2 linked regions of the Arabidopsis thaliana genome follow. The protein of the gene in region 2 interacts with the protein of the main gene of each other region in a pairwise test. Each region holds a gene or a part of one and is shown on either strand. Other genes may lie near its edges.

Evidence for each region. Proteins that work in one complex are often made in the same cells at the same time.
Region 1: the proteins of AT1G24580 (region 2) and AT1G55950 interact in a two-hybrid assay, tested with the Arabidopsis thaliana proteins (one large-scale study listed by BioGRID).

Annotation. Positions count from the first base shown.
Region 1 is NC_003070.9:20,925,908-20,930,231, forward strand, and holds AT1G55950 (DNA-binding storekeeper protein-related transcriptional regulator), read right to left. Parts: upstream 1,639-4,324; 5' UTR 1,592-1,638; coding exon 932-1,591; 3' UTR 810-931; downstream 1-809. Other genes in the region: AT1G55960 (Polyketide cyclase/dehydrase and lipid transport superfamily protein), read right to left, coding at 2,055-2,339, 2,453-2,649, 2,821-2,902, 2,996-3,262, 3,342-3,489, 3,686-3,918.
Region 2 is NC_003070.9:8,707,646-8,712,071, reverse strand, and holds AT1G24580 (RING/U-box superfamily protein), read right to left. Parts: upstream 2,132-4,426; 5' UTR 1,895-2,131; coding exon 1,499-1,894; 3' UTR 1,248-1,498; downstream 1-1,247. Other genes in the region: AT1G24575 (DEAD-box ATP-dependent RNA helicase-like protein), read left to right, coding at 595-861; AT1G24570 (transmembrane protein, putative (DUF707)), read right to left, coding at 2,581-2,700, 2,869-2,904, 2,981-3,058, 3,162-3,215, 3,304-3,370, 3,460-3,516, 3,592-3,705, 3,768-3,869 and 3 more.

The sequences.
Region 1 (4,324 bases), about 12 Mb from region 2:
ATAGCAAAAACCTTAATCTTAGAAATTGCAAATCGAATTGAAAAAATAAATCAGAAATTAAAAGAAATTTTATTGCTGTTTTTAATATAATGATTTGTTTGAATTTAAGTTTAGTTTATTAATAATAGGTGAGAGTTTAAAAAAAAAAAGTTGAGAGTTTTTAATATGTTTGGAGGAAAGGTGGGGGTTTTTCTACCCATTTTCCGATAATAGGAGTTTGTCCCAGCTTTAGCTTTACTTACATATCTTTGTTTGTGGTGGCAGAGCCAAAAATTGAGTTAAAGCTGGTTTGAGTAGTCACCAGTTCCATCATCATCATGTTCATGCATGTCGGATGTACCTTGCAAATAAGGAGAAACAACAAATTAGTAGAACAAATTCAAGCAGCAACAAAGAATAATGTCCGGTTTGTGAAGTTACTAGTTGCAGCTTTGTCAATTGTACTTGCATCGGTTTCATGAGGTGCATCTTTGTTCTTATTCTTCTTCGCTGCCACTCTACGGTCTCTGTTTTTATGATTTTTCTTTTTCTTCTTCTTGGCTCTGCGGATTTTGAGGCCAATGCTCTTAGACATTGATGAGTGTTGAAATCAGCTTGAAAGAACCATGTAATCTTTAAACTTGGCAACAAAATGACTCATTGAGCCTAACCAAAATGAGAGTATTTTTACCAAATTTATACCATAAACCTTGACCACAATTTAAACACAATTGTATGCATTAAAATCTAATCTGCCGTTCTTTCATAATGTTTTTAGCAACAAAATCCAAATATCAAAAACCAAAAAAAAAAGAACCAAATAGAAAAAACAGAGTCATAAGGGATGAAAATGAAAAAGGATGCATTACAATTCTAAATTCAGACTTGTTTAATTTGCTCCAGTGATCATCGAGTTGACCTCATCAAAAATCTTGTCTTTAGCCACAAGTATTCAGATTTCATATATTTCAACATTTGCTAGAGAGTTCTCATCTACACCTTTGTTCCTTTTCTGTACAAACTTGTCTTTCAAACGACGGATTTTGGTAGTGAATTGACGACTATTCGCTTGAAAGCTAATGATGTTCTTCACCGTATCAATAAAACCAGTCATATCATCATAAGAAATCGTCCCTTTATCATTCTGGAAATCAACCATGCCTTGCAACAAGACGATCTTATCATCATCACTCAATATTCTTTGAAAATACTTCTTTTTGGTATCTGTTGACACCATCTTATCATCATTCATCTTGGCTACAACAACGGAACCGCAAATCTTCTTCTCCAGCTCGGTTTCAGAATATGAATCGGAGTCATGCCTTTCAGCAGCAACGATGATAAAAGCAGAAGCCGGAAGATTCTTACCAAGATATTTTTCTCCTTCTTCCTCAGTCTCCATTTTCTCGTCGTCGCCATAAGATTCCGTCGGTGGATTTTCCAATGGTTGTAGATATCTTTTCTTCCTCGGCGGATCTTCCAACAATCTCTTCACCGTCGATGGATCTTTCTCCGGTTTGAGACACTTGTTCTTCTGTTGGGAACGCTTGTTTTTCTTGGCCATCAAACTTTTGAGAGAGTGGGAGGCCAAAAGTTTTGTTATTCTTTTCATTTTTTTTCCTTTTGTTGTCAAGATAAAAAAACGTTTCAGTTTTGTAATGAGATAATATCATAGTAAAGGTCTTCTATTTATTGTGGTGTTGGACTCTTCACTCGCCGCTTAGCATCTAGGGTTGAGCTATAGTTGCTACAACTTCCAAAAAGAAGGGCTAAAAGTAGACCTCATAAGCTTTCTCTTTAGTCTCAACTTTAATGTCACTAATGTTCATCTGTCCCAATATCAACTACAATCGAACAATTTGTAGTGACTCAAGAATCAAGTAAAGATTGATTGGGATAAAGACCTTACATAGTACATACAATTACAAGAATGATAACCTTTAGGCTTGTATGTTTATAATGTATGCTTTTACATTCATATCAACACCGACTTGCATTTTGTATACGCTAGTGGTAGTACTACTGTGGTACAACAATTTGATACCAAAAGCTACCAGAGTTCAGGAGAAATTTACTTAAATGGTGGTGGTCTGGGTGGTCTGATTCAGAGAAGTTCCACGTTTGTTCAGCTTCGTCAAGAGGTAAGCCAATGCGACTTTAGCACCTAAGGCTGAGGGACCACGGGACAAGCAGATCGCACCGCCCACAAGTACTAGACCTTTTGCTATCAGTTTCGTTGATGGCTTTCTCATTTTTTTCTTCTGTTTGGCGGCTACAACATGACTCAACACTCCTTCACCACTACTTGTTTCCATGGAGCCTGTGACATTATCTGTCCCAGTTTCTAACTCTGATGGAACCTGAAGATACAACAATCAATGTCAGTGAAGACCCAACCCAACCGGTTGCTTTAAGCATATTTTCAGGACACTAAATACCATTTTACAGAACAGAATTTTCATATGAATCTCACCTCTTTCATTAAGGTGACAGCAGATAGAATGGGTCCTTGGGTTCTATGACTGGTTGCTATGTATTTACAAAGAGCGTTTTCCATCTTACAAACGTAACTCCATATGCCTTTTGAGAAGGCGAGCTTGGCCATCTCAACATTTAACCCAGCATTCTCCTGGTGAAACATTTTGATCTCACACGCATTTCTACCGGGAACTGCAGCAAGTGTGTCAAAGGTATCAGTCAGATAAGTATCAAAGGTAGAAAGAATGCTGACAACAGAAACTGAAAAAAGAAACTAAGGACCGTGTTCACCATGATCAATCAATATCTGGTTATATGGTATTCAAACAACACTGACTAGAACTTTTAGGTGAATCCACTTGCCTTGCCTGATTCGCCAACCAGATCTAAAGTAACTTACACGTACATACTTCCTCTGTTGTGGTACCATATTGTGATCACATTCCTAATAGTAACCAAAGAGCAAAATGATAAGTAAAGAAGCAACAACAAATTGCGACAGATAGAGGGAGAGAGAGGTTTTTTGGTTGAATTTGACCTTTGTGAAACAGTAGAACTTCTTCTCCTTTCCTTGCCACAATCTCCAAGCTAGAACGTACTCTCTCGATGTCAACAAGGGAAACTTTTTAATGGTGCGACCAATCTCAATTCCAGTATTACTATCAACCTGCAACTGCTCATGCTCAACCACAGTCTTATCCCATAGTTTCCTATAATCATTGTCCATGTAAAAGTCCCTCACAATCTCTGCAGAGAAACCCTCGAAGACCGTGACACTTAGGTACTTCATAGGACCACCGCCATCCTAATAATAGAGCCAAAAGGATACTCAGTAATCAGAATAATAAAAGACTAAAAAGACACTTTTGAAAGTAAGTTACTACTTTGGGTTTGCAGCGTTTAGCAGAGTATGAAATGCGATCGTTGCTTTTGTGAATAACATGTTCCCATATCTCCGTGGAATCATTTGTTTCCTCCTCCAAATTCTCGATCAGAAATTTCAAATCTTCATCAGAGACTAGTTTGGATATCCTGCAAAAAAATGTATAAGAGGAATCTGGTAGCTCAATGAAACCAATCCACATAAAGCCTAAAGACAATTCCACTCAAGTAGAATCCTTCAAAGTTTAAACATTTCAAAAATCAAACGCACTTTAAGCAAAAAAGGATTAGTTTTTTTCATTAGCCAAAGTGAGTAATTAAACATTTGATTGAGAAACCTTTTTACCTTGATTGAGAGTTCGCGGGAACTGATTCTGTAGAGGGAGAGGAAGAAGAAGAAGAAGAAGAAGAAGAAGAAGGAGCAGAAGTGAAGAAGCGAAATTTAGTGGAAAAGAAGATATGAAGGAGAAGGATTAAGAGAAGCGAAATCGCGGTGGTCCATAAATAACAATCGGAAACAGCTCGCCGAGAAAGTTCGTCGGAGAAGAAAGACAAAGCCCAGGTTGATACGCTCTTCATCGAATTCCAAAATCTCGACGATTTGCGAAATCATTCATCCATCGTGGCGTCTGTTTTTGTGTTTTCCAGTTGCAGATGCGGGCAAGGCAACGGATTCTGGACTCTGCTTTTTCTCTTTATTTTATGGTGTCGCCCCCCCAAAATTTGATTTTTTGTTCTTTTTGACCCCTTTTTTTATTTTCTTACAACTTTGCCCTCTTTGTGTTAAATCAATGGGTGTTTATATACAACAAGAACATGACCAAACTATTGACAGGTCAGACTCGATTTGTGATCTAGAACCATAAATTGAGGCAAGCCACATAATGAAATCGAAAGAACCTGTCGTTTTAATTCATGTAAAAGATATGGAAGAAATGAAGTGTCAGAGAAAATGGATAAGGGCCATAAGGCAACGATTGACTCT
Region 2 (4,426 bases):
TGACACATACCTGCATGATCACTTTTTGACCAAGCAACAAAGACAAATCTATTAGATGACCGACGAAGAGAACCACGTTTTTCCTACGTTCTCCTCCACTATAACTTGCGCATTAGATACATGTCATACATCATTATTAATGCATCTAATTCGATCAAGCTATGACGAATAACCAACAGTAACTACCAAATTTAACATTTGTCGTTTGTACTCTTGGGGCATATACCTCAGAAAATTATAAACCGTTGGCCCACTTCACGAATTCGAAGTTGTTAATGTTTTCGACCAATCAATCTTGCTTCTTGTTAAAGCTAATCACCCTCACGCGATATTTCGTATTAGATCCTTACCTATATCATTAGTCCAAATCTCTAGACATGTGCATAGAATATATTAAAATCGGCCAAACCTGAAGTAGTAGTATATTTGCTCGGAAAAGACATAAAGAAAACAGGGAATCAGATTCACGCCCATCTTTCATGTGGACTACAACCTCATAACATGTAGTATTATATAAAGATACCTACGATAGTTTTCAAAAATATCCCTAATAAAACAACACTCCGATCCAAACAAGAAAGAGCTAGTTTAAGAATGGTACTTGGAAACTCCTCCAGTCACAAATCTCATCACCATCAACATCATAATCATCATCACCGGGACTCGATGAAGGAGTTCCGAGCTGTCTTTGCAGCCGAAGAACCAATCCAGGGCTTCGAGTATGCAGATATGAGGAGGTCAAAGAGCGAGAATATGGGCACTAGAGAGGTTGCAAAAGCAGAGGATGTTGACAAAGAAGCTGAGCAATTCATCAAGTTTGAGCATACGAAGTTCAGTAAGTGGATGACTAAGAGCGCCTAGTCTATGTGGACGAAGAATAAAAAGTAATAAATGACAAACCATAATATATAGATTGTATTGTATGATTTGTGTTTCTTCTTCTGGTTTTTATTTTTGTTATGTAACAAAATGGGTGCTGTTTCCTTTGTCTAGAAAGGTGCATGGAAATAAAGACTACAAATTAGTATATTTCATGAACTCTTGGATCTTCTAGTTCCACATAATTGTTTTTTCCGATAACATGCAAAATCTGGTTTGAATTGGAATTGTACTAATTATGCTACAAGTTATGGTCTTAGTTTCACATTTAAATGCAAGACTGTCACACTAATCATGAATACATGAGATAAAATGGAAGATATAAGAATACAATTCTTTCTAAAATGTTAAAATAAAAGAGAGCTTAAAGAGTTGAAAATATGACATTTCCATTATTAGAGAAGAAAAACAAACCCCTTTTTCAACTCAAGAAAAATGGGGAAAACATTCACACACATCAATTGTATAGTCCTTTATTATGAAAAAACCCCTTCTCCATACCAAGAAAAAAGAAGGGGAAAAACATAAACACCAAAAAGGGTAAAACAGAGGATAGAGAATGTGGTATTTTCCTATAGCAAAGCAAAACAAAAGGAAAGTGTAAAACAAGATTCCACCACTAGAGAATGGACCTGCAAAGAGGGCATGTGGTGTGGTTATTACCAAACCAGTTGTCTAGACAAGCTCTGTGGAAGAAATGCTTGCAAGAAACCAACTCACTCACTTCCTCTTCCTCTTTAAACCCACAAAGGCACACACAACACTCCACACCTTTCTCTTCTTCTTCCTCTTCTATGTTCTCACATAGAGACTTGAACTGTGTTATCGAGATTCTTCTAGTAACAAAATCATCTTCAGGCTCGTCGTCTATCTCCATGGAAGATTCAGTCTCGGATGCAACAATTTGAAAAACAGACCTCACCATGTTCTTCAACAGAGTGATTGAAACAACCGTGTTCATCACCAGAAGTGGTAGTACTCCTTCTGACGCTGTTGGAAAATGCGAGAGACCCATTTTTTTATAACTAAGATTATATTCACAGAGATAGAAACTGAGAGTCTTTGAAAGTTTTGAGACACGAAAAATCCTTAGAAGAGAAGAAATAGAGAGGAAGTATAGCCGCCACTCATGTTCCGGTGGGCGATTGGGTTTATTAAGCAGCGGTGGTCTAAACACGTGTCACCAAGAGAGAGGTTATCGTTAGAGACTCATCTCCCACAATTTGATTGTGACTCAATAATAGGTTGGTTCGTCTTTTATAACCAGAAAATTTAAAATAAAACAAAAACTCTGTTTTTTTTTTTTTTCTGTGGTCTGTTTTGTTGTTAGACTTCTGACACGTATTGTGATCAGCCAACCAAGTTGTGCGTTGTGGAGAGCTCCTTGTTCTCCCGAGGTCGATTCTTGATCGACACGTGGAAGACTCAACGTTTCACGGTTGCATGCCACGTCACTAGACCAGACATGCTGACACATGAAAAATTGGACAAATCTTTGTCAAAGTTCACACACCTGTTCTGTTTCAGCTCCTCACAATCTTTTTGTGATTAAAATCATTCACAGTCCTGTTTCTATTATTCAATGGAATCTGATCGTTGTGCGGATCAAAGAGATTGGTATCTCTATAACCTATAAGATCTATATGTAAATGTTATATAGCACCTTAAAATATCCTGGCTACAACTAGTATTGGTAAGGTACTAATGAGAAGTTGTTGAATTGGATGGGCTTTCAACTTGTAACGATCTGAAATAATCCTTTTCCGCGGCTTCCACTCTGTTCTCGAACATTTTCCATTCCATTTGACATCTATCCCTCACCTGCAACACACAAAAGTTTAAGACAGATTGGTCCATTTGGTTGCTTTCTTGTCAAGGTATCTAGAAAATCTAAGATAGCCCTAGGTTTTGTTATAGGGAAGAGAACACATGAAAGCTCTCCAAAACAAGAGGAAAATTTGTATTGAGACAAAAACAAGTTTTGCTTACCCCTTGCCATGGTGCTTTCCCGTTATCTGCTTTCCCCTATTGGCAAGAAAAGGAGAAAGAATGAGAAATTTTAATTGGTTTTGGAAAGGAGAAAGTGAAGAAGTTAAGTAACCTGGTTGCCAAGGGAAGGGATAAATTGATGAACGATCCACTGTGAGTCTACTATTCCTATCTTCTCAAATGCAGGCTCCTTCATTTTCACATATAAAAATGAAAGCCTCTTCATTAATTGATCAAACATGCAAGAACATTTGTACAAACACTAAGCAACAACATAGTGAACTTTTGTGTACCTCAACACATCTTCTCAGTGCAAAGTCAAGACCCCAACCGTGAACCAAATCATTCTGTTTTTGGTTCATATACAATTAGGTGCAAGAAGGAGACATTATATGAAGATATGAAGGAGCCAATAGATAATAAAGTAAGTGTAACCTGGATCATATGCCACACGCAGCGCCATGCATCTCTTGAGAATACAGGAGCCATTATCTCCACGAATCTGTTTTTTTATTAAAGACATAACGAAGTTACTAATGGTTTAAATATGTCTGAAACTTGAGTTTGATAGAGACGTTTTTTGAAACATACGCAGCACATGGAGGCCGGGGAGGATTAGAGCACCAGTCGAGTTTCTCATCTGTCTCCCTGCTAAGGTTCAAGCCATATTCAGAACCATTTTGTAATGTAACAAAAATAATCTAGAGAGGCCGTTATATATACTTGTGGACTTCACTATGTTCTCTTCTTTTGGTGATCTGCCAATTAAACCCAGTCTCTGGGTCCAAACCAGGCTGCGAAATCTCAAGGTCGTGCTTCTTCACTATGTGTATGTATCTACAACAACAAACATAGTTAGAAATTTTTAAATGGAAGTGAGAAGAGTAAGAGAAACTCACTCTTCTGCATTAAAGTGATCAACTCCAAGATCCTCATCCCATATGAATATATAATCGTATCGTGCTACAATGTCCGGGTGCAAGAATCTCTTTGCATACCACCTTATGTTCACAATATGAGAGAGTCAAGAAACCAGATAAAAAAAAGTGGTTAAAGCAAAGATATTGATACCATTTTGTCTGCTTTTTGACACTTATGTGTATTGCATTCCTCGACCACTCAAACTCATCATTCCATGCACTTGTTACGCCATCATAATGAAACAGAACAATAGTAAAGTTCTCTGAAAACTGTATTTGAGTAGACAAAACATAATGAGTTTACTATTAAGCAAAAACAGAAAACAAAAAGTGTTATATCAATCAACCTTGCTAACACACGCATCTATATTGTGTCTCTGATTATAACCCACTGTAAATGTTGCTAGATATCTCGGTTGTTTCACTAAATCCTGAGGAAACAGAGAAAATAAAATTGAAGCTAATGTTCATTGATCACATATGAAAGATGTCATATCAAAAGAGTGAGGAAAAACCTCATCAGGGTTCCCCCATAATCTGCGCAAGTACAAGTCCGATTCGGATGCAATGATACCGGATGGTAATCTCTCAGCGCCTCGAGGATTTGATGGTTCCCATATCTGCACCAAAACATGCCT